Linked DNA regions of Anolis sagrei. The protein of the gene in region 1 interacts with the protein of each later gene in a pairwise test. Links are inferred from orthologs where the notes say so. Each region holds a gene or a part of one and is shown in the gene's direction. Other genes may lie near its edges.

The links.
Region 2: the proteins of SETDB1 (region 1) and methyl-CpG-binding domain protein 1 interact in binary tests that used the Homo sapiens proteins (3 or more experiments, as listed by UniProt). The link is inferred for Anolis sagrei from reciprocal best matches to the Homo sapiens genes SETDB1 and MBD1.
Region 3: the proteins of SETDB1 (region 1) and CDK4 interact in a two-hybrid assay, tested with the Homo sapiens proteins (2 studies listed by BioGRID and IntAct). The link is inferred for Anolis sagrei from reciprocal best matches to the Homo sapiens genes SETDB1 and CDK4.

Annotation. Positions count from the first base shown.
Region 1 is NC_090032.1:5,039,950-5,050,779, forward strand, and holds the start of SETDB1 (histone-lysine N-methyltransferase SETDB1), read left to right. Parts: upstream 1-5,150; 5' UTR 5,151-5,687; intron 5,688-10,249; 5' UTR 10,250-10,260; coding exon 10,261-10,475; intron 10,476-10,830. UniProt on the Homo sapiens protein: Histone methyltransferase that specifically trimethylates 'Lys-9' of histone H3. H3 'Lys-9' trimethylation represents a specific tag for epigenetic transcriptional repression by recruiting HP1 (CBX1, CBX3 and/or CBX5) proteins to methylated histones.
Region 2 is NC_090022.1:193,769,126-193,779,955, forward strand, and holds the start of methyl-CpG-binding domain protein 1, read left to right. Parts: upstream 1-4,246; 5' UTR 4,247-4,331; intron 4,332-10,830. UniProt on the Homo sapiens protein: Transcriptional repressor that binds CpG islands in promoters where the DNA is methylated at position 5 of cytosine within CpG dinucleotides. Binding is abolished by the presence of 7-mG that is produced by DNA damage by methylmethanesulfonate (MMS).
Region 3 is NC_090022.1:191,404,736-191,415,565, reverse strand, and holds the start of CDK4 (cyclin-dependent kinase 4), read left to right. Parts: upstream 1-3,372; 5' UTR 3,373-3,489; intron 3,490-10,830.

The DNA of each region.
Region 1 (10,830 bases):
TTATATCATTCTATATTATTATAATATATGATGGATTATTACATAATTATAATATTATATATTACATAACAATATATTATATATATGATTATAATATTAAATATTACCTTATTATATCATTCTATTTTATCATATATTATGGATTATTATTATATAATTATATATATATTATATTACATTATTATATCATTATATATTATCATATATTATGGATTATTGCATAATTATATTATATATATAATATATATCACATTATTATATTATTATATACTATTATTATATATTATGGATTATCACATAATTATATATTATATATATAATTATAATATTAAATATTACATCATTATATCATTATAATCATATATTATGGATTATCACATAATTATATATTATATATATAATTATAATATTATATATTTCATTATTATATCATTATATAGTATTATCATATATTATGGATTATTATTATATCATTATATATATTATATATTACATTATTATATCATTATATATTATTATCAATTATTATGAATTATTACATAATTATATATAATATATATTTAATTATAATATTATATATTTCATTATTACATCATTATATATTATTATCATATATTATGGATTATTATTATATCATTATATATATTATATATTACATTATTATATAATTATATATTATCATATATTATGGATTGTTACATAATTATATATATATATATATAATATTATATATTTCATTATTTTATCATTATATATTATTATCAATTATTATGAATAATTACATAATTATATTATGTATATATAATTATAATATTATATATTACATTATTATATCATTATATCATTATATATTATATATATAATTAATTATATATATATTATATTATTATATATTATATTATATATATATATATACTTATAATATTAGTATAAATAAATATTACTAATATATTATTATATATTATTTATTTATTTACAGGAAGGAAGGGAAGCTGGAAGGAAACAAGGAAGGAAGAAAGATGCACCAAGGGTTTGAATGGAGGGGCAGAATATCAAGAAGGTGCAATGCTTGATGCATCCTCTGGAGGGCGGCAAAGGATTGCACATAGGAGTCCTGGGCAAATGGTGCCCCTGAGATTTCAATGGAGGGTCAGAATACCCAGAGGGAGCAATGCTCAATGTGACCACCAGGGGGTGGCAAAGGGTGTACTACTACTACTACTACTTCCATCATCTGTGTGCCAAGTTTGGTCCAGATCCGCCAGCAATGGGAGTCACAGGGCTCGCTGGGTGCGGAGTGAACCATAACTCCCATCATCCAGCGTCAATGGAAATGGATGGATGGATAGATAGACTGATGGATGGATGGATGGATGGATGGGTACACTGATTGATAGATGGATGGATAGACTGATAGATTGATAGATGGGTGGATGGGTGGATGGATGGATGGATGGATGGATACATTGTTGGATGGATGGACGGATGGATGGATAGATATATTGATCGATGAATGGATGGATACATAGATGGATGAATAGATGGATAGATGGATAGAAAGATGGATGGATGGATAGACTGATATATTGATAGATGGGTGGATGGATAGATGGATGAGTGGATGGATAGATGGATGGATGTATAGATAGATGGATAGCTAGATGGATAAATGGATGGATGGATGGATAGATAGATAGATAGATGAATAGATGGATAGATTGATGGATAGATAGTTAGATAGATAGATGGATGAATAGATTGATGGATGGATGGATGGATGGATGGATGGATGGATGGATGGGTGGATGGATAGATGGATGGAAAGAACTTCATCGGTGTCGTTGATGGACGATGAAAAGCAGCAGCTCCCCTGGCGGCCAGAAAAAAAAAGAAGTTAAATAGCTTTTGTCTGTTAAATGTTGTTTGTCAAACTGGCATTGAATGTTTGCCATATATGTGTTTACTGTAATCCGTCCTGAGTCCCCTGCGGAGTGAGAAGGGCGGAATATAAGAACTGTAAATAAATAGATAGATAGATAGATAGATAGATAGATGGGTAGACTGCTATATTGATGGATGGATGTATAGATAGATAGATGGAGAGTTAGATGGATAGATAGAGGGATGGATGGATGAATAGATTGATAGATCAATGGATGGATGATAGATGGATAGACTGCTATATTGATAGATGGGTGGATGGATAGATGGATGGGTGGTTGGATGGATGGATGGATAGATAGATGGTTGGATGGATACATGGATAGAGAGAAGGGATGGATAAATAGATGGATAGGTGGATTGATGAATAGATAGATTAACAAATGGGAATATGATCTGGGCGACGACAGCTACGCAGTCCAACCTGGGAGGGATCCTTCCACTCTCCTTCCCTGTCCTGGGTGAAACCTGACGCACCCGCACCTTGTGAAGTATTCATGAGAATGCTTTCGGTGACAGAAGAGCAGAGCTGAACAACCGAATGGCAGAGACCCATTTTGGCACCGGGGCAAGAGCGAAACGCTGGCAGATCCTTTCCCGCAGACAAGGCAGGTAAGCGCCAAGCCTTGGCGACTGTGTTCCATTCACCTTGTCCGGGTGAACTATGTAACCTGGTGCCTCACCAAACTACCAATCCCATTATTCCATAGTATTGAGCCATGGAGGTTCAAGTGGGGTCAAGATGGATTCATTCCACAGGGTGTAGATGTGTTGTAAGGGGGTCTCATGGCGGGAGTTCGAGTTCAAATGAGTAATGTTTTCCGGAACCCGCCATTCCCACGTTTCTGCCCCTACAGATGAGGGGAAGACCCCTTCCTGGGTAAGAAGACCACCCTCAATTAGACCCATGGAGGACCCCACTGCCGAGACCTTTGTGGACGTGGACAAAGGCATCTGCGTCGGCTTCCTCTCCCTGATGTGCTTCTTCCTCCTCATCATGATGGTGCGCTGCGCAAAGCTGATTGTGGATCCGTATACGGCCATCCCGACCTCCACTTGGGAAGAGGAGCAATTCGACTGACATGTAAACTAGACCATTAGGTTACATGCATAAATATCTATCGGCCAATAGCTAATCCTTTCTAGCAGTGTAATAGCCACTTGTGGTTGCATCTGAGCACTGCATACATGCTTATCTATCGGCAAGTAGCAAATCCTTTCTATCTATGTGTTGCTCTCTTGTGGTTGCATCTGAGTACTGCATGCATACATATCTACCAGCCAGTAGCTAATCCTTTCTATCTATATACTGTCGTCTTGTGGTTGCATTTGAGCTCTGCATGCATACGTATCTATCGGCCAGTAGCTAATCCTTTCTATCTATATACCTCCTTCTTGTGGTTGCATCTGAGCATTGCATGTAAACATATCTATTGGCCAGTAGCTAATCCTTTCTAGCTATATACTGCCTTCTTTTGGTTGCATCTGAGTATTGCATGCATGCATGCATAAATATCTATAGGCCAGTAACTAATCCTTTCTATCTCTAGATTGCTGTCTTGTAGTTGCATTTGAACACTGCATTTGAACACTGCACTCATATCTATCGGCCAGTAGCTAATCCTTTCTATCTATATATCTCTTGTGGTGTCTATCGGACAGTAGCTAATCCTTTCTATCTATGTGCTGCTCTCTTGTGGTTGCATCTGATTACTGCATACATACATATCTATCAGCCAGTAGCTAATCCTTTCTATCTATATACTGTCGTCTTGTGGTTGCATTTGAGCTCTGCATGCATACGTATCTATTGGCCAGTAGCTAATCCTTTCTATCTATATACTGTCGTCTTGTGGTTGCATTTGAGCTCTGCATGCATACGTATCTATTGGCCAGTAGCTAATCCTTTCTATCTATATACTGTCGTCTTGTGGTTGCATTTGAGCTCTGCATGCATACGTATCTATTGGCCAGTAGCTAATCCTTTCTATCTATACACCTCCTTCTTGTGGTTGCATCTGAGCATTGCATGTAAACATATCTATCGGCCAGTAGCTAATCCTTTCTAGCTATATACTGCCTTCTTTTGGTTGCATCTGAGTACTGCATGCATAAATATCTATATATCTATGTAAACCGGGCTGAGTCCCTCAACGAGGTTGAGAAGCTCGGTATACAAAACTGTGAAATAATAATAATAAATAATAATAATAGTCCAGTAACTAATCCTTTCTATCTTTTTACTGCCATCTTGTGTTTGCATTTGAGCTCTGCATGCATGCATATCTATCGGCAAGTAGCTAATCCTTTCTATCTATATACGGTTTTCTTGTGGTTGCATCTGAGTATTTATTATATAATATATATATATATGTGTGTGTGTGTATTTTTTGTCGTGTCCAGAGCGACTTGAGGAACTGCAAGTCGCTTCTGGTGTATATTATATTATATATATATATACACATACACATATACATATACACACACACACACATATATATATTATAATACATATATATATAGTATATTATATAGTATATTATATATTCTATATAATATATAATTATATATATTATTATTATATAATATATTATATATATGGTGTATACTATATATTATAGTATATAGCATTATATTGTTTTATTTCATATTATATATATAATACATAGTATATAGTATTAAAGTGTATAATATAGTATATATTATTATAGTATTTATTGACAACTATATATTATTTAAGCCTAGGCACAGGGTTGCATTTTGCTCGGGAAAAAAAATCCATGCTTTCCTTTAATGCTTTGAAAGCAAAGCAAGAAAACAATTCAATTTTTGAGAATCAGTTTAAAAATGGATCTACTGGCCCTTTAAATGCAATGCGCATGCGTACTACGCGGCGTCCGAGTCGGAGAGAGAGAGCGCCTTGTTGCTTCCTTAGCCGAGCTGAATGCATGCCGCTATTTCCGCATGCGCACTAAAATGGATCTACTGGCCCTTTAAATAGAGAAGCCTCGAACAATGCGCATGCGTACTACGAGGCAGCGGAGTCGGAGAGAGAGCGCCCTGTTGCTTCCTTAGCCGAGCTGAATGCATGCCGCTATTTCCGCATGCGCACTAAAATGGATGTACTGGCCCTTTAAAGAGAGGGCTAGAACAATGCGCATGCGTACTACGAGGCAGCGGAGTCGGAGAGAGAGCGCCCTGTTGCTTCCTTAGCCGAGCTGAATGCATGTCGCTGCTTGCGCATGCGCACTAAGCAACTGATGAAAGCGAGAGCTCGAACAATGCGCATGCGTACTACGAGGCAGCCGAGTCGGAGAGAGAGCGCCCTGTTGCTTCCTTAGCCGAGCTGAATGCAAGCCTCTCCTTGCGCATGCGCACTAAGCAACTGATAAAGCGAGAGAGCTCTCGAACAATGCGCATGCGCACTACGAGGCAGCCGAGTCGGAGAGAGAGAGCGCCCTGTTCCTTCCTTAGCCGAGCTGAAGGCATGCCGCTGCTTGCGCACGCGCACTAAGCAACTGATGCTGGGGCGCAGGCGTAGTAACTAAACGGACATTGAGTTCGCTTTTTCCCCCTTCTCCTAGCCGCGCATGCGCATGATGCTTAAAGAGCCCGTCGGGTTGTGTTCCCACCCGGAAGCAGGTTGAATGGGTTTCCGGTCCTTTCCCAAGCCCCCCCTCCCCCCGCTTCATTGGTTCCAGGGAAAATAATTCCGCCTCTTGGTTTTCCCTCAGAGGGGGGAAAAGGTGAGTGGTTTTTTGGGGGGAAAGGGTTTGGATTTGGGGGGTCTTCAGGGGAAAGAAAGGAAGAGGATTGGAAGAGGAGGGAGGCAGTGAGGCCTAATGGCTGGAGCAAGGCCTGGCTTGAGGGAAAGAAAAGGGAAATATTGAATCCCACAACTAGATATCCTATTATAATGCAATACAATATAATACTACTACTAATGATAGGATATTATAACTATATATTTTGTATCACATGTAATATTACTAATAATATTACAATATAATGGTATAATGCAATATAGTAATATGTAATATTGATATTGTACTGTGCTAATGGTGGCGCAGTGGGTTAAAACACTGAGCTGCTGAGCTTGTTGATCGAAAGGTTGCAGGTTCGATTCCGGGGAGTAGCGTGAGCTTCCGCTGTCAGCCCTAGCTTCTGCCAACCTAGCAGTTCGAAAACATGCAAATGTGAGTAGATCAATAGGTACCGCTCCGGCGGGAAGGTAACGGCGCTCCATGCAGTCATGCCAGACACATGACCATGGAGGTGTCTACGGACAACACTGGCTCTTCGGCTTAGAAATGGAGATGACCACCACACCCCAGAGTCAGACATGACTGGACTTAATGTCAGGGGACTACCTTTACCTTTACTGTGCTAATAATATATATATATATATATATATATATATAATATTTGTAATATTATAATGTAATACAATATAATGCTACTAATAATAATAGGATATTATAATTATATATTTTGTATCAAATGTAATATTACTCTATTGTCGAAAGCTGTCATGGCTGGAATCACTGGGTTGTTGTAGGTTTTTTCGGGCTGTATGGCCATGGTCTAGAGGCATTCTCTCCTGACGTTTCGCCTGCATCTATGGCAAGCATCCTCAGAGGTGTTGAGGTCTGTTGGAAAAAGAAAATGAAGGAAGACTGCCTTTTCTCGATGTCCTAGTCATCCGCAAACCAGGTCAACAATTGGGTCACACCGTTTACAGAAAACCCACACACACAGATAGATATCTACATAAAAATTCCAACCATCATCCAAGTCAAAAAAGAAGCACCATTAAAGCCTTGGCAGAGCGTGCAAAAAGAATCTGCGAACCCCACCTCCTCCAAGATGAACAGGTCTCAAGCTTTAAATTTATTTATTTATTTGGTAGTTTTCTATACCGGTCTTCTCACCTCCATTCGAGGGACTCGGGCCGGTTTCCAACACCAATATTACAGACCGTCATTAAAACATCATATTTCTAAATCACACTAAAAACATTAAAACATTGAAACAATTAAAATGGCAAAAATACAATCATATGATTACAGTGGTCAGTCGTCATCAAAGTCATTCGTCGTCATCCATCCATGTCACAGGATCATGGTTCATTCGTTGAATGCCAATCCCCAAAGCCAGGTTTTCACCTTTTTCCTGAACGTTAAGATCAAAAGGGCAGTTCTGATCTCCAGTGGAAGGGAGTTCCAGAGTCGAGGGGCCACCACCGAGAAGATCCTGTCCCTCGTCCCCACCAGACGTGCTTGCGAGGCCGGTGGGACCGAGAACAGGGCCTCTCCAGACGATCTTAATAATCTTGATAGGGGAGAATACGTTCGGAGAGGTAAATAGGGCCAGAGTTGATTAGGGCTTTGAATTGTGCTCAGAAGCTAATTGGCAGCCAGTGGAGCTGGTGTAACAGCGGAATGGTATGCTCCCTGTACCCAGCACCCGTTAGTAGTCTGGCTGCCGAGCGTTGGACTAATTGCAGCTTCCGGGCAGTCTTCAGTAATATATTAGCTATAGGGCCATGTTCTAGAGGCATTTCTCCTGACGTTTCGCCTGCATCTATGGCAAGCATCCTTAGAAGTAGTGAGGTCTGTTGGAAATAGGAAAATGGGTTTATATATTTGTGGAATGGCTGGGGTGGGGCAAAGAGCTCTTCTCTGCTGGAGCTAGGTGTGAATGTTTCAGCTGACCACCTTCATTATCATTTGAAGGCCTAGCTGAGCCTGGGAAAATGTTCTGTTGAGAGGTGTTAAGATGTGCCTGGTTGTTTCCTCTCTGCTGTTTTGCTGTTGTAATTTTAGAGTTTTTTAATACTGGTAGCCAGATTCTGTAATATATTTATTTATTTATTTATTTGCTTTATTTCTATACCGCGTTTCTCAACCTATAATAGGTGACTCAATGCGGTTTACACAATATTAATTACCACAACAATAACAATTAAAACACAGCATACCCAATAACAAACACACAACCATTCATACAGTGCCTCGATCGCAACCAAGATCCAGTCTCATATCCTTATACCGTTCCTATGTTCAGTTTACCGTCATTCTGTGTACAATTGCGCTGATTAGCCAAACGCTTGCTCAAAAAGCCAGGTTTTGAGCTTCTTCCTAAATGCCAGCAACGAAGGGGCCTGTCTGATGTCGCTTGGTAGGGCATTCCATAACCGAGGGGCCACCACCGAGAAGGCCCTGTCTCTCGTTCCCGCCAACCGTGCCTGTGACGCAGGCGGAACCGAGAGCAGGGCCTCCCCGGACGATCTTAATGTCCGTGTCGGTTCATAGGAGGAGATGCGTTCGGAGAGGTAGGTGGGGCCGGAACCGTTTAGGGCTTTGTAGGCTAATGCCAGCACCTTGAATTGTGCCCGGTAGGGAATTGGCAGCCAGTGGAGCTGGCTCAACAGAGGAGTGGTATGCTCCCTGAGAGCTGCTCCTGTTAGCAACCTGGCTGCCGAGCGCTGGACCATCTGGAGCTTCCGGGCAGTCTTCAAGGGCAGCCCCACGTAGAGCGCGTTGCAGTAATCTATGCGGGATGTGACCAGAGCGTGGACTACCGTGGCCAAGTCCGACTTCCCGAGGTACGGGCGCAGCTGGCGCACGAGCCGAAGCTGTGCAAATGCTCCCCTGGCCACCGCTGAGACCTGAGGCTCCAGGCTCAGCGATGAATCCAGGGTCACACCCAAGCTGCGAACCTGCGTCTTCAGGGGGAGTGTAACCCCGTCCAACACAGGCTGTAACCCTATGCCCCGTTCGGCCTTTCGACTGACCAGGAGTGCCTCTGTCTTGTCTGGATTCAACTTCAATTTGTTCACCCTCATCCAGTCCGACACAGCAGCCAAGCACCGGTTCAGGACCTGAACAGCCTCCTTAGAAGTAGGTGGAAAGGAGTGACAGAGTTGGACATCATCTGCGTACAGATAACACCGCACCCCGAAACTCCGGATGATCTCTCCCAACGGCTTCATGTAGATGTTAAACAACATGGGGGACAGTATTGAACCCTGCGGGACCCCACAAGACAAAGGTTGTGAGGACGAGCAGCTGTCCCCCATCAACACCTTCTGGGTACGACCCTCTAGGAAGGACCCGAGCCACTGTAAAACAGTGCCACCAAGGCCCATTCCCGCGAGGCGTCCCAGAAGGATACCGTGGTCGACGGTATCGAAGGCCGCTGAGAGATCCAGCAGGACCAACAGGGACACACTCCCCCTGTCGAGCTCTCTGCGGAGATCATCCACTAAGGCGACCAGGGCTGTCTCGGTACCATGTCCCGGCCTAAAGCCAGACTGTGCCGGATCCAGATAATCAGTGTCTACCAAGAATACCTGGAGTTGTGAGGCCACCACACGTTCCAGGACTTTGCTCAAAAAGGGAAGATTGGAAACAGGCCGATAGTTGACGAATTGAGTGGGGTCTAGTGATGGTTTTTTCAACAGCGGTTTTATTACAGCTTGTTTTAAGCTGGCTGGAATATTGCCTTCCCGAAGGGAGGCATTAACCACCACCTCCACCCACTCGGCCAATCCCCCTCTGGCCTCCTTTAGAAGCCAGGATGGGCAGGGGTCTAGGATGCATGTGGTAGCTCTCATTCCTCCAAGTATCTTGTCCACATCCTCGGGACATCCCACATCCCACAAGTATCCCTCCACATCCTATAATATACTATATTATATTATTAGTATTATATTGTATAACATTATAATATTATAATTGGGGCTTCTGAACCTAATTTGGTGTCCAAATTTGGTGTCAATTCATCCAGTGGTTTTTGAGTTATTTTAATCCCACAAACTAACATTACATTTTTATTTATATAGATTTATTTATGACACTTATATTATTATATTACCGTAGCACAATATTAGTATTATATAGCTATTATACTGCAATATTATTAGTAATATTACATGCAATATAAAATATATAACTATATTATATTATATTATTATATTATATTATGATGACATGATAAATGGGAAAAAATTATATTATTAGTATTATATTGTATAACATTATAATATTATAATTGGGGCTTCGGAACCTAATTTGGTGTACAAATTTGGTGTCAATTCATCCAGTGGTTTTTGAGTTATGTTAATCCCACAAATGAACATTACATATATGTGTGTGTGTGTGTATTCATTCATTCTTGGCTGGAATTGCACTTACAAAATTTTCCTCTTCCAACGTACCTGCAAATTCAGCTTAAGAACAGACCTACAGAGCCCATCTTGTCTGTAACTGCCAGTATTCGGTTGTCTCCTTCTGGACGCTTTCAGCTTTGGCCGCCATGGCGGAGTCTGAGGACATGATGGAGCTGCAGCGGGTGGTGATGGACGAGCTGGGCATCTCTCTGGATGACCTGAAGCAGATGATCGACGAGGAGGTGGAGAAGTCGGAGGAGGTCCAGCGGCGGAAGCGGGAGCTGCAGAGCCTGGAAGAAGTGGTGAAGAAGAAGGAGGCCGAGGTGGCCTACGTGGACGAGCTCCTCGACAACGCCGTCAAGTAAGTCATCAGGGAGGCTCCAGCAGGAGTGAACACCTCTCCTTTACCGATTTGAGTACCTTTATTGATTCTGGGTTGCGGTGAGCTTTCCTGCCTGTATGGCTATGTTTCAGAAGCATTCTCTCCTGACGTTTCACCTGCATCTGTGGCAGGCATCCTCAGAGGTTGTGAGGTCTGTTGGAAACTAGGCAAGTGGGGTTGATATATCTGTGGAATGATGTCCTTGAGGCAAGTGTGAATGTTGCAATTGGCCAACTTGATTAGCATTGAATGGCAGCAGAAAGAGAGAGGGACGAAGAGAGGGAGGAAAGAGGGAAGGAAGGAAAGACGAAAGGAAGAGAAGTGTGGAAGGAAG
Region 2 (10,830 bases), on another chromosome or scaffold:
TTGGAGAACAGTTGTGTGTTTTCCTCTCACTGGTCTCACTTAAGACAAGAGGATTGGGGAACTTGCTTCTGAGGAAGACATTAAATGAAGTGCCTTGAAATAGCACAATTTTTCCCTGTAGAAGAGTGTCAGCTTAAATCTCTGGCTAACACTAAGGCAAGACAAGGGTAGAGATTACTTCAGATACTGGGCTCCCAGCAGCATTTACCGTAGGCGTACTGTGGAGGGCTGGTTGGATTTGCATTCTTAACAACATTGAGATCTCATGTTCCCTCATTCTTGTCAAAGATTTGTATCATTTTCCTGTCCTTAACACCCATCTCTTTTCTTTGTAGGTGCTGTTGAGCCTATGGACAAGAGCTTCCCAATTCAGTGCCAATTGAACCAGAATCTTTTTTTAAAAATGATTTTTCTTAATCTCTTTTTTCATTAAAACAGTCTGGTGTAGCTTTTGCCTCTGAGCTCCTCTTCTTTGCTCCTGTAGAATCTAAGCTGTCTTTGACCATAAAACCCTTGCCAGTGGCTGTTAGCTGTGGTCCCTTTTTTTCTAAAATATTCCCATGGTTTAAGGGCTGGAAGACTGGCAGTTAGGGAAGTCAGTGGCTTCTTCTGCCAACTTGCCAAGGTGAAAGGAATGTTTCGGCTCATACTGGCTTAGGACAATCCCTGCTTCCTGAAGCAGAATTTTGATTAGATTTTTGATGCTGCATTGAAGGAAAGACGCGTGTAAACATTAAGCACTGTTGCCTTTCCATGTAGCTGCTGTCAGCTAAGAGTCATGGAACTGAGGGGTTAAATATGCTGTTAAATCAGGGCAAAGGAACCAGATGGGTTACAAATCTCTCATCCCATTGTGTGCTGTTGCCAGGAGGCAGAAAAGAGGCTAATAAAAATATCTCTCAACCTTCTGTCTCATTCTCTCTCTGTATGTGCGTTTTATATTATGGGCCAGCATCAAATGACATTGGATTACTGTTTAAATAGCTGCTATTCTTTATCTTTACTCCTAACTCAGGGCCCTTCCACACATCCATATAACCCAGAATATCAAGGCAGAAAATCCTAGAATGTCTGCCTTGGACTGGGTTATCTGAGTCCACACTGCCATATAATCCAGTTCAAAGCAGAAAATGTGAGATTTTATTCAACTATGCGGAAGGCTATGCACAGTTACTGGGGCCAGCTGCAAGAGGCAAAAGACACAGGAGGCCAAAAGGATACAAAGAATCAGTTATAAGGGGAACACATTGAAGTGTATGTTTATTAAAGAGGCTACTTTGTAATAGAGGGGGAAGACAGTGTATCTAGGGTGCTTGTCAGTTGTTGCTGCCCTTCTCCACTCCTCTGATGATTATTTGCATATTTGATCAGCCGGGGTCGGGGATGTGTGTGGTGGTTGGTGCTCAGTATCAGAAGGACCCTGAGTCCACACTGCCATATATCCCAATCCAAAGCAGAAAATGTGGGATTTTATTCAGCTGTGTGGAAGGGGCCTAAGGGCCCTTCCATGCAGCCATATAACCCAGAATATCAAGGCAGAAAATCCCACAATGTCTGCTTTGAATTGGGTTATCTGAGTCCACACTGTGATAGATCCCAGTTCAAAGCAAAAAATGTGGGATTTTATTCAGCTGCGTAGAAGGGGCCTAAGTCTGCAGTGCTTTTCATGCTCTGATTTGTGTCTGGGCATTGCTGTGTTTGGTGGTCCCTATGTAGACTTGTCCACAATTGCATGGTGTATCGTAGACTCCTGCAGTGGTTAGAGGACCCCTCTTGTCTTTTGCTGAATTGTTGAATTTGTGTTGTCTTGACCTGAGAAATCAGCCGTAGCAGAGCACCTGATGAACCAACCTGGACACAGCATATTATTGGAGAACACAGAATGCTGGACCACTCTCACAGCCACCATGTCAGACTACACAGAAAAGGCACTGAGATTCACAAGAAGCATGTGGACAATCTCAACAGAAAGGAAGAAACCATGAAAATAAAATCTGGCCGCCAGTATTTAAAAAACCCTCTAAAATCAGGACAGTAAATAAAAGTAATGGTATTCCCTGTAGTAAATTACGGATGTGAGAGCTCGACCATAGGGAAGGCTGAGCAAAGGAAGATAGATGCTTTTGAACTGTGGTGCTGGAGGAAAGTTCTGAGAGTGCCTTGGACCACCAGAAGATCCAACCATACTCCAGGAAATAAAGTCTGACTGCTCATTGGAGGGAAGGATATTGGAGGAAAAGATGAAGTACATAATGAGAAGACAGGAAAGCTTGGAGAAGACAATGATGCTGGGGAAAATGGAAGGAAAAAGGAAGAGGGGCCGACCAAGGGCAAGATGGATGGATGGCATCCTAGAAGTGACTGGCTTGACCTTGAAGGAGCTGGGGGTGGTGACGGCCGACAGGGAGCTCTGGTGTGGGCTGGTCCATGAGGTCACGAAGAGTTAGAAACAACTGAACGAATGAACAACAACAACATATTTGCCAATATATGGCTTTAATTGCAACAGAAAGGTCATTCAGCAGACTTGCAAACAAGGCAAATAGGCACAACTAGTCAAGAGCAATGTACTCTTTTAGAAATTTTGTGCATCGAAGATGATTTAGCTAAGCAAGTTGATTTTACTGAAGTTATTGCAAAATTTACATCAACACAAGCTAGAAAATATAATTTGAGTTAAGTAAGAAGCTGGGGGTGGTGACGGCTGACAGGGAGCTCTGGTGTGGGCTGATCCATGAGGTCACGAAGAGTTGGAAGCGACTGAACGAATGAACAACAAATAAAGAGCAATACCCAAAAAGCAGGTGAATTCCAGGTAAGAGTCAATCAGGGTCAGCTAACACCTCCCAACAAAAAATTCCCCCAGGCAGCAACTAGCCAGGCTTTAAAGCTGCAAGGACATTAAATGCTAATCAAGGTGGCCCATTGCAACATTCACACTTGCCTCAAGAGTTCTCTCTCCCACCCTGGACATCACTTGCTTCGTTACCAACAGACCTCACAACCTCTGAGGATGCCTGCCATAGATGTGGGCAAAGCGTCAGGAGAGAATGCTTCTGGAACATGGCCATACAGCTCTGAACACTCACAGCAATCCATTCTTGAATGTTCTTGCTGCACTTTGGTGGGGCAGAGGCGGATACAGAACCTATCCGATGACAGATCTCAGGACTCCACAGCCTTGAACCCTGGCGGTGCATTCATGCTGCAATCTATTCAAAATGATCTTGACAGATTAGAGAGATGGGCCAAAACTAACAAAATGAAGTTCAACAGTGACAAATGCAAGATACTCCACTTTGGCAGGAAAAACGAAATGCAAAGATACAGAATGGGGGATGCCTGGCTCGAGAGCAGTACGTGTGAAAAAGATCTTGGAGTCCTCGTGGACTACAAGTTAAACATGAGCCAACAATGTGATGTGGCGGCAAAAAAAGCCAATGGGATTTTGGCCTGCATCAATAGGAGCATAGTGTCTAGATCTAGGGAAGTCATGCTACCCCTCTATTCCGCTTTGGTTAGACCACAACTGGAATATTGTGCCCAATTCTGGGCACCACAATTGAAGAGAGAGATTGACAAGCTGGAATGTGTCCAGAGGAGGGCGACTAAAATGATCAAGGGTCTGGAGAACAAGCCCTATGAGGAGTGGCTTAAGGAGCGGGGCATGTTTAGCCTGAAGAAGAGAAGGCTGAGAGGAGATATGATAGCCATGTATAAATATGTGAGAGGAAGCCACAGGGAGGAGGGAGCAAGCTTGTTTTCTGCTGCCCTGGAGACTAGGATGCAATGGAACAATGGCTTCAAACGATAAGAGAGGAGATTCCATCTGAACATTAGGAAGAACTTCCTGACTGTGAGAGCCGTTCAGCAGTGGAACTCTCTGCCCGGAGTGTGGTGGAGGCTCCTTCTTTGGAAGCTTTTAAACAGAGGCTGGATGGCCATCTATCGGGGTGATTTGAATGCAATATTCCTGCTTCTTGGCCTGAATGGCCCATGAGGTCTCTTCCAACTCTTTGATTCTATTCTATGATTCTAGAAGAAGCACTTCCCGCCTGTCCTCCGCGCGCCTCCCCCGGCCACGTGCTGGGGAGCATGCTGACGTCAGGGGCCTTGGGTCTTACCGTCATCTTCGTCACTTCCGCTTCCGGGAAGGGTGTTGTTGTTTGCGTCGAGGGGGTGTTCCTCCCTGGTGCCTTGGCGAAGTCCCTGCTGCAGGAGCAGGCGGAGGGGGTTGGCAGGGCCCTTCCGGAGCCCGGTTTCCTGGAAGAGGAGGAGGAGGAGAAGGCGCAGTGCGGAAGGAAGGAAGGAAGCAAGAGACGGAGAGGCTGGTGAGTCAGGCGGCATCCTGAGTGAGGCAAGCAGCCACTATGGCGCCCTCGAGGAGGGAGGGACAGATGGGTCTTTTCCTGAAAGGGTGCCACACTGAGGAGGGGGCCAGCTTGTTTTCTGCTCCTCTGGAGACCAGGGCGCCAGGGATTCAAAGAGACCCACCTCAACATCTCTGTTTAGCACATGCTGCATATGGTGGAGCCTTCTTCTCTTGAGGCTGGATGACCATCTGCCAGGGCTGCTTTGATTGTATGTTTCCTACTTGGCAGAAGAGGGTTGGACTGAATGGCCCTTGGGGTCTCTTCCCACTCTACGATTTCGTAGTCAGACCAGTGGCACTAGGAATGTTTCCTTGCAAGTTGTTCTCTCCATAACATTTGGTCTTCCTTTCTGGTGGAGGCTCCTTCTTTGGAAGCTTTTAAACAGAGGCTGGATGGCTATCTGTCAGGGGTGATTTGAATGCAATAGTTCTGCTTCTTGGCCTGGATGGCTCATGAGGTCTCTTCCAACTCTTTGATTCTATGATTCTTTCTGCTGCTACCATATTGCAACATAATCTTTTTGTTCATGAATATTAATATTACATAATATAATATAAGTCAGAGGAATAGAGTGTGAAACAGAGAGCCAAATGTAACATGTAAAATCATACTACATATATTTGACATTAATATTGAAATCTGAAATATATACAGAAAGTCTTTACTGGATAGTTTTAACTGAACCTTTTAGTACTGTTTATATTTAATTCTGTTTAAATATTTGTATATTTAGAATGCTGTGCTAACGTTTTTATGTTAAACCCGAAGGCAGGCATGTAGCCCCCCCCCCCCCCGAAAGTCTCATGGTGGCCTTACTGGTACATCATTTAAACTGTTATGTTTATTCATATCATGACCTGATCACCATGCTCAATATATCCCATATGCATGGGGGTATTGGGATAACGATACAAAAGGTTTGCTAAGGTAGACCCTCTCTCACTCAGACTCAGCCCCCCCCCCCAATCAAACTCAGCTCCCCCCGAAACAAAATCCTGGCTACGGGTCTGCCCGAAGGGGACTCAAATAGAATGTAATAATAATAATAATAATAATAATAATTTTGGAGCATAATACTCCTGACTTCACAATCATGTTAAAAAACAAAGTATGGATCGTCGATGTCACAGTCCCAGGTGACAGCAGGATTGCAGAGAAACAACAGGGAAAAGCTGACACAATATGAGTATTTAAAGATCAAACTGCAAAGACTCTGGCACAAGCCAGTCAAGGTGGTCCCAGTGGTGATCGGCACACTGGGTGCAGTGCCTAAAGACCTTGGCCTGCACTTAGACACAATCGGCACTGACAAAATTAACATCTGCCAGCTGCAGAAGGCCACCTTACTGGGATCTGCACACATTATTCGCCGATGCATCACACAGTCCTAGACACTTGGGAAGTGTCCGGCATCTGATCCAATACAACAGCCAGCAGAGTGTCTGCTGTGGACTCATCTTGTTGTATTTTCAAATAATAATATGGAAATTCTGTGATATTGTGGAAAGGGATCTATGGTTGGGATTTCACTCCTTCTCAATCAGGGCTCAGCTTGATGGTTCATTACTGGTGAAGGGGGCATGACAGCTGCAAACTGGGTTGATCTGCCACTTTGAGGCCCCTTCTACACTGCCATATAATTCAGATTATCAAAGCAGATAATCCACATAATCTGTTTTGAACTGGATTCTATCAGTCTATGCTGCTACCTAATCTAGTTCAAAGCAGATAATCTGGATTTTATATGGCTGTGTAGAGGGGCCTGAGTCTCCTTGTGTAGAGAAAAAGCGGGGCAATAATAATAATTCACTGGAACTTATGTCACAAGAACCACCTGCCAGCAGCAAAGAATTGGTGGAATCATAAACCCGCAAAGGTCATGGAAAATGAACATGCAAAAATACTGTGGGACTTTCGAATCCAGACGGACAAAGTTTTGGAACACAACACGCCAGACATCATGATTGTGGAAAAGAAAAAAGATTATTGATGTCGCCATACCAAGTGACAGTCACATTGAGGAAAAACAACAGGAAAAACTCAGCCGCTATCAAGACCTCAAAATCGAACTGCAAAGCCTCTGGCATAAACCAGTACAGGTAGTCCCAGTGGTCATTGGCACACTGGGTGCTGTGCCAAAAGATCTCAGCCGGCATTTGGAAACAATAAACATTGACAAAATCACGATCTGTCAACTGCAAAAGGCCACCTTACTTGGATCTGCACACATCATTCGAAAGTACATCACACAGTCCTAGACACTTGGGAAGTGTTCGACTTGTGATTTTGTGATATGAAATCCAGCATATAGATCTAATTTGCTGTGACATACTGTGCTTTTGTGTCAACAACAACAATAATAATTGTAATAATGGGGTGTTGTGTGGTTTTCGGCCTGTATTCTCATGTTCGCTTTCTCCTGACGTTTCACCTGCATCTGTGGCAGGCATCTTCAAAGGATAACAGCCACAGATGCAGGTGAAATGTCAGGAGAAAATGCTGCTAGAACAGGGCCATACTGCCTGGAAACCATAGCACCCAGCGATTCCAGCCATGAAAGCCTTCAATGATACATTAAACATAATAATAATAATAATAATAATAATAATAATAATAATAAGACCATTATCTGAGTGTTTCAGTCACCTCTTTGGGTGACATTCTCTTTAGCCAGCAATTCCCAGTTCTGATCCTGGGACACTGTACAGGCCAGATGGGTTTTGGCCCTTAGAAATGAGACCAAGGGTGCTGTACAGTTAATGCAGTTTGACCATCATTTTCATTGTCGTGGCTCAATTTTGAGGAATCCTGGGAGTTGTCATTTGACAAGGTGTTGTGCCTTCCTAGCCAAAGAGTGCTGTTGCCTTGCCAAAGTACAGATTGGCTGATTCCTGAGCCATGGCAGTTAAAGTGGCTAAGCTGCATTAATTATGCAGTCTGAGATGCACTCTTAGTCAGCCTTTTCCTCAACCATGGGAGTTGTTTGGTCTGTCTTTGTCCTAAGCTGGCTCTACACTGTAGATGTAATGACACCACATTACGTAATAAGATTTGTAGTTTGGTGAGGCACCAGTACTTTGGCCACATCATGAGAAGATAGGAAAGCTTGGAGAAGACAGTTATGCTGGGGAAAATGGAAGGTAAAAGGAAGAGGAGCTGACCAAGGGCAAGATGGATGGATGGGATCCTTGAAGTGACTGGCTTGACTCTGAAGGAGCTGGGGGTGGTGATGGCTGACAGGGAGCTCTGGCGTGGACTGGTCTATGAGGTCATGAAGAGTCGGAAGTGACTGAACGAATAAACAACAATGACGCACCAGCACTCTTTGGCAGAGTGCTACACATAGCTAACAGTCTTGTAAAACTATAACTCCTATGATTACATACAATTGAGTCATGATGAGTTAAAGCAGTAGCAAACTGCCGTAATAATATAGTATAAATACACTTTTAATTGTTGCTCTGGCCTTGGCCCCTTCCAGTACCTTTTATGTCTTATGTTGGGGAATCTGATTTTTTTGTGTATCATTGTAGTTCAGTAGGCCCTTGGTATCTGCTGGGTTTGATTCCAGACATTTTGTGGGCATCAACATCTGTGGATACTCAAGTCCCATTATATACAATGGTGTAGCAACATGGTGTCCCTTATATAAAATGGCAAGATCAAGATTTGCTTTTGGGGGGAAAAGGTTTTGAAGGAACATTAGTATCTGTGGATATGGAGTGCCAGATGTTTTCAGCTCTCAATTGCTCCTGCAATAGAAATGCAAAATTAACTGTCCCTTGAATTGTTGGTCTGTTATGTCCTAATCTAGCTGGTAATGTGTTAGTGATGTTTGCCTCAGTTTACATTTGGGAAAGTGCCTAGGATACTAGAAGGTTGAAGCACATTGATTTAGGGAAGTATTTTCTGGATGAATACGTACTATCTGTTATTGTCAGTGCTGAATTCAATACCAAACGGCCATGCACATAGAAGATTTATCATGGAGAAGGTGAAGAGTGATGGATTTGTGCTTGCATAATTGTCTCTTGGAAACTATTGCATGAAGTGATCTGCCAAGTGTGATTGACTCATCAGAGATGTAATGTTTGTATTGCCTCAAACTGAATGTTTTTTTTAAAAATGGACCCGGTTTACTTATGCAGGTGCCTGCCAGCATGACAGAGACCTAAAGTGATGCCTGTTGATGTGAATGGTACCTTGGTATCTAGCCACTCAGTCATTGAATTTTTTTTCATGTCACGAGTGACTTGAGAAGTTCCAAGTCATTTCTTGTGTGAGAGAATTGGCCGTCTACAAGGACGTTGCCCAGGAGTCCTCCAGATGTTTAACCATCCTGTGGGAGGCTTCTCTCATGTCCCCGCATGAGAAGCTGGAACTTACAGATGGGAGCTCACCCTGCTTCCCGGATAATGAACTACAAACCTTTCAGTCCGCAGTCCTGCCGGCACAAGGGTTTAACTCATTGTTAAGGAGCCACTGGAGGCTCCTAGTCATTGAAATGATGTGAGATAATATTCACTCTGTGTAGTACAACCCTTATATCCATGGGATACATGTTCCAAGACTCACTCGCAGATACCTGAAAGTGTGGATAATAGCGAACCCTATATTTTGACTATACTTGGAGTGACACATACCATATAATCACACTGGAGGACCTAGATAGGCCCACAAGTGTGGGTGGACTGGTGCCACAACTTTAAAGAATAGAACTAATGCATAAAGTGCAAATATTATATAGCAACTATGAGGATAAGAACAATTTACCATTAAGGTTTTGAGTATAACAATCATAAAGTGCTTGAGGACACTTTTTAAAGGTCCCAACAAGGTCCAGCTATCCAGGGAATTGCCTAGTCCCATGATGGCGAACCTATGACACATGTGTTAGCACTGACACGTATAGCCATTTTCTATGACATGTCGTCGCATACAGAGAAGTATGGGGCCGCATGCCAAGGAGGATGTTGCATCCTTGCCAAGGATGAAATACTTCTTGTAGTGTAGTGTAGACACTGTGCCAGAGGTCTGTAGATCAAAACAACAGAACTCCAGCACAGAGTGTCTAAAAGTTCTGGGATTTCTGGTTAGGCCATTGGAGGATCTTTGACCTCACTTTTGGCCAGCAGAGCAAGGAACAGCAGAAAGCCGTGCAGACGCATCTCTGGGGGCCCTGTGATCACCATTACCAGCAACCACATAACCACAGCAACCATAATCTAATTCACTGTTTTGGGGTTGGGGTGTCGTGGATTTCTAATTGAACATTACTGAGATAAGTGAGGAGGAGGCTGGGAGAGGCGAGGACCTATGCAGATTGACAGATGAAGTTAGTAGTGCTTGCTTAGGCTTGAAAGGTACAAAATACCAACCTTCAATTGAAGGTGAAATTGAATCCAAACAAGACATAGGTGCTTGCCATCAAGGGACCTAATCTGGGATGGAGGTATGCCAACCAGTTCTGGAGTATGCAGTCCAGTGCCTTTCAGATACATTTTGAAGGTTCTCCAAAGTTAGTTATTTTCATATAAATGACAGGATCCTACCTACAGTCAGCCAGTCAGTTGTAAACCTGCCTATAGGTACAAGCTTTTTCATCCTGTCTGCTGAAATACTGTTATTGTTTTATATTGTTAGAGGTTTTTTTTTTATTAGTGTTAGACATAGTCAGTGAATAATAACTGTAAATGATGGAAGATTCATCTTCCATCACTATGGTGTCTATGAGTAAAATGCGTAATTCAAGTGATTCGTGCTTAGGGTTTTTAATGAAAAGTGGATCACTTTGTACTTTTTTGTGCCAATGAATACTAAGTTAGTGTGTTTAATTTGCCGTGAGTCAGTGTCAGTATCAAAAGAATACATGAAATACAGAGCATGCATCTAATTTTGATCACTTTCAAGGGAAGCTTTGAGTGAACAAAGTGAACCATCTGCAAAGTGATATCAAATGTCATCAGGGTTTGTTACAAAGACCAAGGGAAGAAATGGAAGCATGCATCAAGGTAAATTATGTAATAGCAAAAAACAAAAACAAAAGATAAAAAAATCAAAAGCATTTGTGGAAGGTGAATTTGTGGAAGACTGTCTCATCATTTCTGGGGAAATCTGTGCTCAAATATTAAAGAAATGTTTAAAAAGCTGAGTTTGTCTGGGGTAACTGTTGCACGATGTGTTGAAGAACTTGCTACTGACATTGAAGGAACTGTAAAAAACAGTTGTCACATACACTTTCACTAGATGAGACCACAAATGCAAAAGATATCCGTGGTGCTGACCAACAGTTTTATGTGGCAGAAGAACTGCTAGCGTTCGCACCTCTGAAAAGAATGACAAAAGTACTGATATTCTTGAAACCGTCCAGAAACCGCTTTGGACGGTTTCAATCTCAACTTAGCCAACTTTCAGGGTGGTAACTGATGATGCCTCTGCTATGCTGAGCACCCACCAG
Region 3 (10,830 bases), on another chromosome or scaffold:
AGGTTTCCCCTTGACATTAAGTCTAGTTGCGTCTGACTCTGGGGGTGGTGCTCATCTCCATTTTTAAGCTGAAGAGCCGGCATTGTCCGTAGACGCCTCCAAGGTCATGTGGCCAGCATGACTACATGGATTGTTGTTACTTTCCCACCTATTGATCTACTCACATTTGCATGTTTTTGAACTAAGTTGGCAGAAGGTGGGGCTAACAACAGGAACTCACCCCATCCCAGGATTTAAACCACCGACCTTTCAGTCAGCAAGTTCTGCAGCTTAGTGGTTAACCCGCTGCACCACAGCCATATAACCCAGAGATATTCTGGGTTATATGGCTGTGTGGAAGGGGCCTTTATGATTTATGTTCCTGGATTACACTGTGTAATTTTAAGACCAACAACTGCAGGTTTCTGAAGTTTACACTGCAAGTATTGGGAAAACCAAACACCACAGGCTTTTGGCTGCTCTGTTATCTACCAATTCAACTGATTTCTAATTCAAACTGGCTCAAACCGACTTCTAACTCAAACTTATTTAACTGACTTCTAACTGACTCCCAACAGATTTAAACACATTTTGAAATGGAGTCTCACTCATTTTAAGATCTGGGTCACATGGTCTGTAGTCCCGCCCACAACCTCTAGCAACATAGTTAAGGGGAAAACTGCATACCATTATATACAATATCGTAAGTAATCACAATTATATACATAACAAATAACTAGTATAGGAATCTTGTAGAAGGCTGCCATTTCCAACATTCAGCTTTAAGAAGCTAAAACCTTGGCTCTTCCGGTGTGCCTTTGGAGAATGACCACATATTCCTTTCCTGTTGTCTTCTCCCTCAAGTTGTCCTCATACTGCCCTTCCCCTCACCATTTTTAAGGCCTAACTCCACTGTTCCGCCCTCCATGCACTCCTCCCTTACAAATACATCTTTTTCATTGTCATTCATTCATTTATGTGTACATTTGGCTCGTCCATTGTGTATGTTTGTTACTGTATCCTGCACTGCTGTTTTGTTCTTATGTTCACTTATGTTATTGCCTTATTTTATTGTATTGTTATTTTTGTTGTTTTGTATTCATGTTATTGTAACTGTATTATCGGGCTTGGCCTCATGTAAGCTGGCCCGAGTCCCCTTTGGGGAGAGGGTGGCAGAATATAAATAGTTTATTATTATTATTATTATTATTATTATTATTTTTATTATACACACAGCCTCCAGTCTTCACTAAGAGCCCTTCCACTCAGGCATATAACCCAGAATATCAAGGCAGAAAATGCCTCAATATTGGCTTTGAACTGGGTTATGTAAGTTCACACAGCCATATATTCCAGTTCAAAGCAGAAAATGTGGGATTTTATTCAGCTGTGTGGAAGGGACCTAACACACACCATATAGGAACAATCTATATAAATAAAAATGTAATGTTCGTTTGTGGGATTAACGTAACTCAAAAGCCACTGGACGAATTGACACCAAATTTGGACATAATACACCAATCAGGCCAACAAGTGACCATCACTGAAAAACACAGCAGAAGGGACTTTAAAAGCCAAAAAATAAAAAATACATGACAACGCATGTGCAAAACCACATATATATGTACACAAACACACATATTTATTTATTTCCAGTATTTCTATCCCATTCCTTCTCAAATCCCAAAGAGGGCCTCAGGACGGCTTACATTTGGTACAATTTGATGCCATTAAATATAACAAAGCAATATAGCAACAATTAAAACAATAAATAGCACATTAATTGAAACAATAAAAACAGTATTAACCACCATATCACCATTCCAGTCAAATTCCATATCCAGAGTGCTATTTATGTCTGCTGTCCAAAAAGCCTGGTTCCAGAACCACGACTTCAATTTCTTCCTAAAAGACAGGAGGGATGAAGCCGATCTCACCTCATTGGGAAGCAAATTCCATAGGCAGGGGGGCTACAGCTGAAAGGCTCTGTCTCTCGTCTCCGCCAGATGTATTTGCGACGCTGGCGGGAGTGAGAGCAGGGTCTCCCCGGATGATCTTAAACTGCAAGAGGGGACGTAGAGAGAGATGCGTTCAGACAAGTAAGCTGGGCCAGAACCGTATAGAGCTTTATAGGTCAAAACCAGCACTTTGAATTGAGTTCGGAAGTGGATTGGCAGCCAGTGGAGCTGACACAAGGGGGTTGTGTATGTCCCTGTATGTCGCTCCAGTTAGTAATCTGGCTGCAGCCTGTTGGACTAGTTTAAGTTTCCGAACAGTATTCAAAGGCAGCCCCACCGTAGAGTGTGTTGCAGTAATCTATTCAGGATGTAACAAGAGTGTGGATGACCGACCGTGGCCAGATCAGACTTCCCAAGGTACGGGTGCAGATGGCACGCAAGCTTTAACTATGCAAAAGCTCCCCTGGACATCGCCGAAACCTGGGGTTTCAGGCTCAACGATGGATCCAGGATCACTCCCAAGCTGTATATAAACAAATATATATACACAAGACACATATACACAGACTAAAGTGCCAAGAGGAAGGCGCATAAAGCCAATCCCAACTGGGACCGCTTTGCACCTGGAAACCGATGCCCTCACTGCGGGAGAAGATGCAGATCAAGAATAGGGTTCCACAGCCACCTACGGACCCACCCTCAGGATACTACTCTTGGAGGACCATCATCCTCGGACTATGAGGGATCGCCTAAGTAAGTAAAAGTATACATTGACTGGGCCATAGCAACTCATGGCAAGGGACAGCTCGTCATGACTAAGATTAATTGAAAGCCCCCTTATGGGTGCATCTACACTGCAGAATTAATTAATTAATTATTATTATTTATTTGCTTTATTTCTATACTGCGTTTTTCAGCCTAAATAGGCGACTCAATGCGGTTTACACAATGCAGGTTATCACAACAATAAACAGTTAAAAACACATCATACACAACAACAAAATCAACAATTATTATCAATTCATGACGCCTTAATCCAAACTTAATGCAGTTTGGAACCCTTTTAACTCAATGCTATGGGATCCTGAGGGTCCTAGTTTGTGTAGTTCTCTTAGGCAAAGAAGGAGAAAGGCTAAAGTAGGCCAAACTAGTATAATACTACAGTGACGGGCCTGGACAAGCTTTAGCCTTCCAGGCGTTTTGGACTTCAACTCCCACAATTCCTAACAGCCTACCGGCTGTTAGGAATTGTGGGAGTTGAAGTCCAAAATGCCTGGAAGGCCGAAGCTTGCCCAGGCCTGGCTGTCGCTCCACCCTTTGTCCTATACAAGAGAGGCGAAGAAGCCGGGAAGCGCCGAGTAGAGGCCCGTCACTATGGCGACCCGCTTCCGCTATTGGGGCCGCTCTGGCCACCGCGCATCGCTGGTTTTTGCCGGGTCTTCCAGCCCCGCCCCCCTTTTCCCCGGGCTCGAGCCCCGCCGCGAGGGAGCTGCGGAAACCCTTTCACTGCTGCTGTTGCTGCTGCTGCTTTGCATCGTGTTCAGCGTTTGGGGTGAGTAAGTGAGGGGCCCGGGGCGCGCGCTCCCTGGAAAGCAAAGCCTGGGATCCCTCTGTTGTTCAGAGCAGAAGGAAGAAAGCAAGCAAGCATTTAAGCATTTGTTGCTGGGCTTGGTCCAAGGGGCCGAGTTGAGGGGTAGAAGCAATGCAATTCCTGCAAGAGGCCTTGGCCTGGCCGTGGGGGGGGGGGGGGATATTTAGATACTTTAAATATATATATTTACTCTATTGGAGACTTTTTTGTGGGAGTGGGATTGTAAAGTGGTCTCTTCTTGCAAAACATTGCCTTCTTTTTCCTAAATGTTCCAAGTTTGGAAACTTAACTTTGTTTGGGGGATTCATCTACACTGAAGAGTTAATGCAGTTTCACCCCACTTTAACGGCTATGGAGTCCTGGGTGTTGTCGCTTCACATAGTCTTAGAAAACTACAGATCTCAAGATCCCATACGGTGGTGCCAAAACGCATTAATTATCCAGTGTAGATGCAACGATAGTGGGGATAACTCGTTGTTTGAAATGTAACTTTTCAGGACTTCCAAAGTTCCTGCATTTGCAGCAGGCGAACGGGATTCTGGTCCGCACAGGCATCATGCCTTAATATGGCGTTTTCCAACCGCTGTAAGAGCGTGGGACTGACTACAATTCCCATCATCCTCCCCTCCCTCCTAGATTAGAGCATCAGAAGGAGCCCTTGTTCAGCAAACATCTCATGTTGTGGATCTGTTAATTCTGGGGGTTCCTCTCTGGCCCCTTCCACATCTGAATAAAACCCCACATTATCAGCTTTGAACTGGAATACATGGCAGTGTGGACTCAGATAACCCAGTTCAAAGCGGCCACAGGAGAGGGTCCATCCACACAACCATATAACCCAGGATATCAAAGCAGCAAATCCCACAGTATCTGCTTTGAACTGGAATACATGGCAGTGTGGACTCAGATAACCCAGTTCAAAGCAGATATTGTGGGATTTTCTGCTTTGATATTCTGGGTTATGTGGTTGTGTGAATGGGCCCCTTGAGCTGTTCTTGTGCAGCAGGCTAAAAATGTTGGCAGGATATTCAGATAAGCAGTCATGCCTTTCTAAAGTGGACCAAATACTATAAGGGCATTATTCAGTAGGGCCCCATGTCTATTGCCTTCTAATGCAGTATGCATCATATGGTCAGTGTTGACTCATCTCATGCAGTTAAAGTTCATTAGATGAGTCTTCACGCTATGTGACAGTTTCAAACTGCATTACATAGCGGTGTCGCTGGAGCCTCGGTCCCCATTTTTGTCTTCAAATAGGAAGGTAAACAGTAATGGCCTTATAAAGTGGATGAAATATTATAAAGGTCTCCGTTGGATCCTCGTTTTGGTCTTCAAATATGTAGATCAGCAATAATAATAGTAGTAGTAATAAAAATAATAATAGCAGGATTGCAGAGAAACAACTGGAAAACACGATAGGAGGATTTAAACATTGAACTGCAAAGACTCTGGCACAAACCAGTAAAGGTGGTCTCAGTGGTGATGGGCACACTGGGTGCAGTGCCTAAAGACCTTGGCTTGCACTTAAACACAATCGGCGCTGACAACATTACCATCTGCCAGCTGCAGAAGGCCACCTTACTGGGATCTGCACGCATTATTCGCCGATACATCACACAGTCCTAGACACTTGGGAAGTGTCCGACTTGTGATCCAATACAACAGCCAGCAGAGTGTTTGCTATGGACTCATCTTGTTGTGTTTCTAATAATAATAATAATAATAATAATTCAGACAGAGTTCTGGAGCACAACACTCCTGACTTCACGATCGTGTTAAAAAACAAAGTGTGGATTGTCAATGTTGCAATCCCAGGTGACATCAGGATTGAAGAGAAACAACTGGAAAAGCTGACATGATATGAGGATTTAAAGACCGAACTGCAAAGACTCTGGCACAAACCAGTAAAGGTGGTCTCAGTGGTGATTGGCACACTGGGTGCAGTGCCTAAAGACCTTGGCCTGCACTTAAACACAATCATCGCTGACAAGATTACCATCTGCCAGCTGCAGAAGGCCACCTTACTGGGATCTGCAGGCATTATTCGCTGATACATTACACAGCCCTAGACACTTGGGAAGTGTCCAACGTGTGATCCAATACAGCAGCCAGCAGAGTGTTTGCTGTGGACTCATCTTGTGTTTCTAATAATAATAATAATAATAATAATAATAATAATGCAGACAGACAGAGTTCTGGAGCACAACACTCCCGACTTTACGATCGTGTTAAAAAACAAAGTGTGGATTGTCAATGTTGCAATCCCAGGTGACAGCAGAATTAACGAGAAACAACTGGAAAAGCTGACACAAAATGAGGATTCAAAGATCGAACTGCAAAGACTCTGGCACAAACCAGTCAAGGTGGTCCCAGTGGTGATTGGCACACTGAGTGCAGTGCCTAAAGACCTTGGCCTGCACTTAAACACAATCGGCGCTGACAAAATTACCATCTGCCAGCTGCAAAAGGCCACTTTACTGGGATCTGCACACATCATTCGCCGATACATCACACAGTCCTAGACACTTGGGAAGTGTCCGACGTGTGATCCAGTGCAACAACCAGCAGAGTGATCTTGTCTGCTGTGAACTCATATTGTTCTGTTTCTAATAATAATAATAATAATAATAATAATAATAATAATAATTATAATGTTTATTTATACCTCGATTTATCTCTCCCAAAGGAGCCCCCGCTGGAGCAATGGGTTAAAGCGCTGAACTGAACTTGCTGATTGAAAGGTTGGCGGTTCTAATCCGGGAAGTGAGCTCCTGCTGGTAGCCCCAGCTTCTGCCAATCTAGCAATTCAAAAACATGCAAATGTGAGTAGATCAATAGGTACTGCTTCTGCAGGAAGGTAACAGTGCTCCATGCAGTCATGCCAGCCATATGGCCTTGGAGGTGTCTACAGACAACGCTGGCTCTATGGCTTAGAAATGGAGATGAGCACCACCCCCCAGAGTCAGACTTAATGTCAAGGGGAAATCTTTACCTGATCTCCCCAAAGGAGACTGAAAGCAGCTTACGTTAATAATGCCCCCTAAAAGTTGACTTTTTCTCCTGTTATTTAGCTTATCCAGGTAAACACCTTTTCCCAATACTTTGGTATCTTAGGATATAATTCTATAAGGTCTTTATTAAGTAGATTCTCATTTTTGCTGTCATATTAGGAGAAGTAGCAAGGTAATGCCGGCTCTTTGGGTTAGAAATGGAGATGAGCACCAACCTCCAGAGTTGGACACAACTGAACTTAATGTGGGGGGAAACCTTTGCCTTAGCAAAGTAAAGGTAAAGTCTAGTCATGTCCGACGCTGGGAGGTAGTGTTCATCTTCATTTCTAAGCCAAAGAGCTGGCGGTGTCGTTAGACGCCTCCAAGGTCATGTGGCCAGCATGACCGCAAGGAGTGCCGTTACCTTCCCTCAGAAGCAGTACCTATTGATCTACTCACATTTTCATGTTTTAAACTGCTAGGTTGGCAGAAGCTGGAGCAGACAGCAGGAGCTCACCCTGCTCCCTGGATTCGAACCACCTACCTTTTGGTCAGCAAGTTCAGCAGCTCAACGGTTTAACCCGCTGCACCACCAGGAGACCCCAGAAGTAGTAATGTTCCCCTAAGTAGACTTTTTCTCCTATTATGCTATGTAACACAATTTTTGTTCCTGGGTTATAAATGTCATTTTCTAATTGGTTCTATCATGAAAACGTTTATTAAACTGCAAAAACTTTAGTTTTGCGGGACATTCTCCAGCACATTTTGCAATAGTTTTTCAATGAATATCTCAGTGTCAACTAATTCAACAAAAACGAAGTTTGTGGAGTAGAACAACTACTTTCAAAGTAAGTTGCACAGAATTATACAGGAAATAACATTTTCAAACCAGGAACATTTTTTTTTCAAATTTTGTTACATAGTCTTAGGCCCCTTCCACACAGCTGAATAAAATTCCACATTTTCAGCTTTGAACTGGAATATATGACAGTGTGGACTCACAGAACCCAGTTCAAAGCTGATATGGGATTTTCCGCCTTGCTATTCTGGATTATATGAAAGGGCCCTTATTGATCTTAATCAGATTAATCCCTCTTCCCACAACTTTAATAATATAATATGGTATATATTACTTTCCTAAAGAAGTATTCTGTCATGTAAGGAATAGTAATTTCTTTATTATTCGCTTTCATATGGGCTCCTGTGCCCCTAACTCTAGCAAATGTGACAAGTCTGGCTGTATATGCTAAAATAGATATTCCAAAATCTGAAAGAAATCCCAAACTTAGTGTCCCAAGCATTTTGGGTAACACTGGCTAACAGACATTTGGGTGCCCCAGACGTTAGACTTGTTTCTGGGTATATTTGACCTGCTGATTCCAAAAATGGCACCAATTTTCCCCATAGTTTTTGAGATGGAATCTATGTCTATTAGTTGCCATCTGCTCACCCATAGAAAATAACAATGACCATTTCTTGAAACTGGAACTGTTGTAGTCTGTCCAGTGCAATTTTCTGAATGGGCTCTCTAAATAACCCCAGGAACAGGCTTAAAAACCAAGACCACAGAGGGTTTTTATTATTATTGTTGGACTGTGTGATGGTTACTCAACAATGATTCCACTTTAACTGCCATGGTAATCTCTTATCGAATCCTGGAATTGGCCTTTACAATCCTCAGCCTTGGATCTCTAGCACCTTCCTAATCTGTAAATCCCATGCCAGTTAGTAGAATTGTAGTGCTGTAATTTTCTAGTATGGAAAGGATCCTGGCCAGTTTGGTTTATTGGCGCTGAGAAGAATTACTCTGAAGTTATTGACATCTTTTGTCAAAGTTGGGTACAAATGATTCAGGGTGACACTCTTGTACCCAAGATTCTTTATCCCCCTCATTTCCTGTGCTTGCTAGTCCTTGTCATGACTTGTCCCCAAATATTGAAGGGGTGTGGAGAAGCACACACACTCCCATTCCTTTTGATTGTGATCATGACACAGCGTCCCTTTCCAGGCAACATAAGTGTGCATGCTCAACCTCGAGTGGGGAGAAGAGTGGGATTGTGGCAGAGGACCAGGTTTACATATGCTCACCCAAATGTTACTGAGCATTAGTTGCACATATGCAGACTGTGTGCCTGTAGAAGTTCTTTGTGTCAGTATGTGTACACTTGTTTATCCTCACTTCTGTGTCTTGTGAACTTGGGGAGGGTTGCAGTTGCCGTCCTGGTTTTTTTTGCCTGTGTTTCTTTTCGCATTAAAGATACATATCCTATATACGTATGTCTAGAAAATTTAGTCAAGAAATCAACCCAAAAAACTTGGGTTGACTTATCTGTGGGTCGGTGTGAGTACTGTACCTTATTTCTCATCAAGGAAGGAACCCTCTCTTTCTTTGAGTAGAGTGACAAAAGAAAAAGACTTAGTCCGACATGGGAGAACCCAAAGGAAGCACTGACTCAATATATTTTCTACATTGCAGTGTCACTTAGGACCTTTTTGAATGCATTTTCCCCTCTCCACGCAATAGCTCTTGACTTATCCACAGGTCATACCAAAATCTACAATTCTGTAGGCTTAGGGCATTATTGGTTGTTATATATATAATTTTATTTATTTACTTTGCTTATATACCGCTGTTCTCAGCCCGGAGGCGACTCACAGCGGTGTACAACATAGGAGCAACAAAATTCAAGACACAGTATAAAAACAATTCACAATCCAGCAATTATACAAAAACATCGTCATTACTACGAAAACCATTCAGCCATTCAACCATTCACACCATCAGGCCTGTAGCCAGGATTTTGTTTCGGGGGGGGGCTAAAAAAAATTTCGGGGGGGGGGGGGTTCGGGGGGGGTGAGTTTTGGGGGGGGCTGAGTCTGAGTGAAAGAGGGTCTAGCCTAGCAAACCTTTTGTATCATTACCCCAATACCCCCATGCATATGGGATATATTGAGTATGGTGATCAGATCATGATATGAATAAACATAACAGTTTAAATAATGCACCAATAAGGCCTTTTCGCGAAAACCATGAAAATTTCGGGGGGGGCTGAAGCCCCCCGAGCCCCCCCCCCTGGCTACATGCCTGCACACTATTCAACCATATATATGGCATTTCTTCTAATGCTTTTTTAGTAAATGGCCATAATTCCATCTGGGCCAGATGCTTTATTATTATCTAATTTCTTTATTGCCTTTTATACAGGATGCAGCAGCATAACTTCCTTTTTCAAAACTTAATAAAACCCATTGTATGAATCCGAATTTTTTTTTCTAATGTAGGCGCATCCCTAAAGTTTTGTTTTACGTTGTTTTGAAGATCAAATTAGGTAGGTGACGTCCCCCATTCTCCAAACACTGAGTAAACCGATTTCTGGCGTTAGTCATGACTCTTGCCAGCATAGCAGGAGTTATGTTGGCAATTTCTTCCTGGGTGTTGGTCTTCAAATCTTGTAGGGTCCTTGGACGGTTCACATAAACACGGGATTTCAAAAAACCCCATAGAAAATAATCACAAGGGGCCAAATCTGGAGAGCGGGCCGGCCACTCCAAATCCGCTCGAAATAGGCCTCACCGGCAAAAGCACGCTCCTCGCTGTTCCAATGCATAATGGCGACTGAACTGTGTCAGGACAAAACTTTATATTCCCGCCTCTCAAACGAGACCACTAGCGCTCCGCCTACCTCTTTAACCGACTGAATGGCGTGCATTTTAAAAAAGGAAGTTATGCTACCTCACCGTGTAATACTTTTTTTAGTAAATGGCCATAATTCTATCTGGGCCAGGTGCTTTATTATTATCTAATTTCTTTATTGCCTTTTATATTTCTTCCTCCGTTATTTCTTTGTTGATTATTTCTCTTTGTTCTTCCATAATTTTTGTCAGGTTTTGTTTTCCTAAATATTGTATTATATCTACTTTCTTTATTCTTTGGGATATAGTTTTTATAATATTTATTGAACTGATTTATAATATTCTGGTCTATTGTATATACTTTGTCATCATTCACAATTTTAGTAATATGTTGTTTTTGTTTTTTCTGCCATATTCTTCTTGCAAACCATTTCCCCAGTTTATTTGCACTTTGGAAGTGTTGCTGGTTTACAAATTTTAACTTTTTTGGCTAGTTCTGTTTCTAAATAATTTCTCTGCTTCCTAAGTATCTCTAAATCAAATTTGCTATTTTGATCTGATGGATTCTTTTTTAGTTTGGATTCTGCGATAGCTATTGCATCTAGCACTTTCTTTACTTCTTTATTGCGGTTTATATTTCTTACTGCATTTTGTTGAATAAAATGATCACTCATCACAG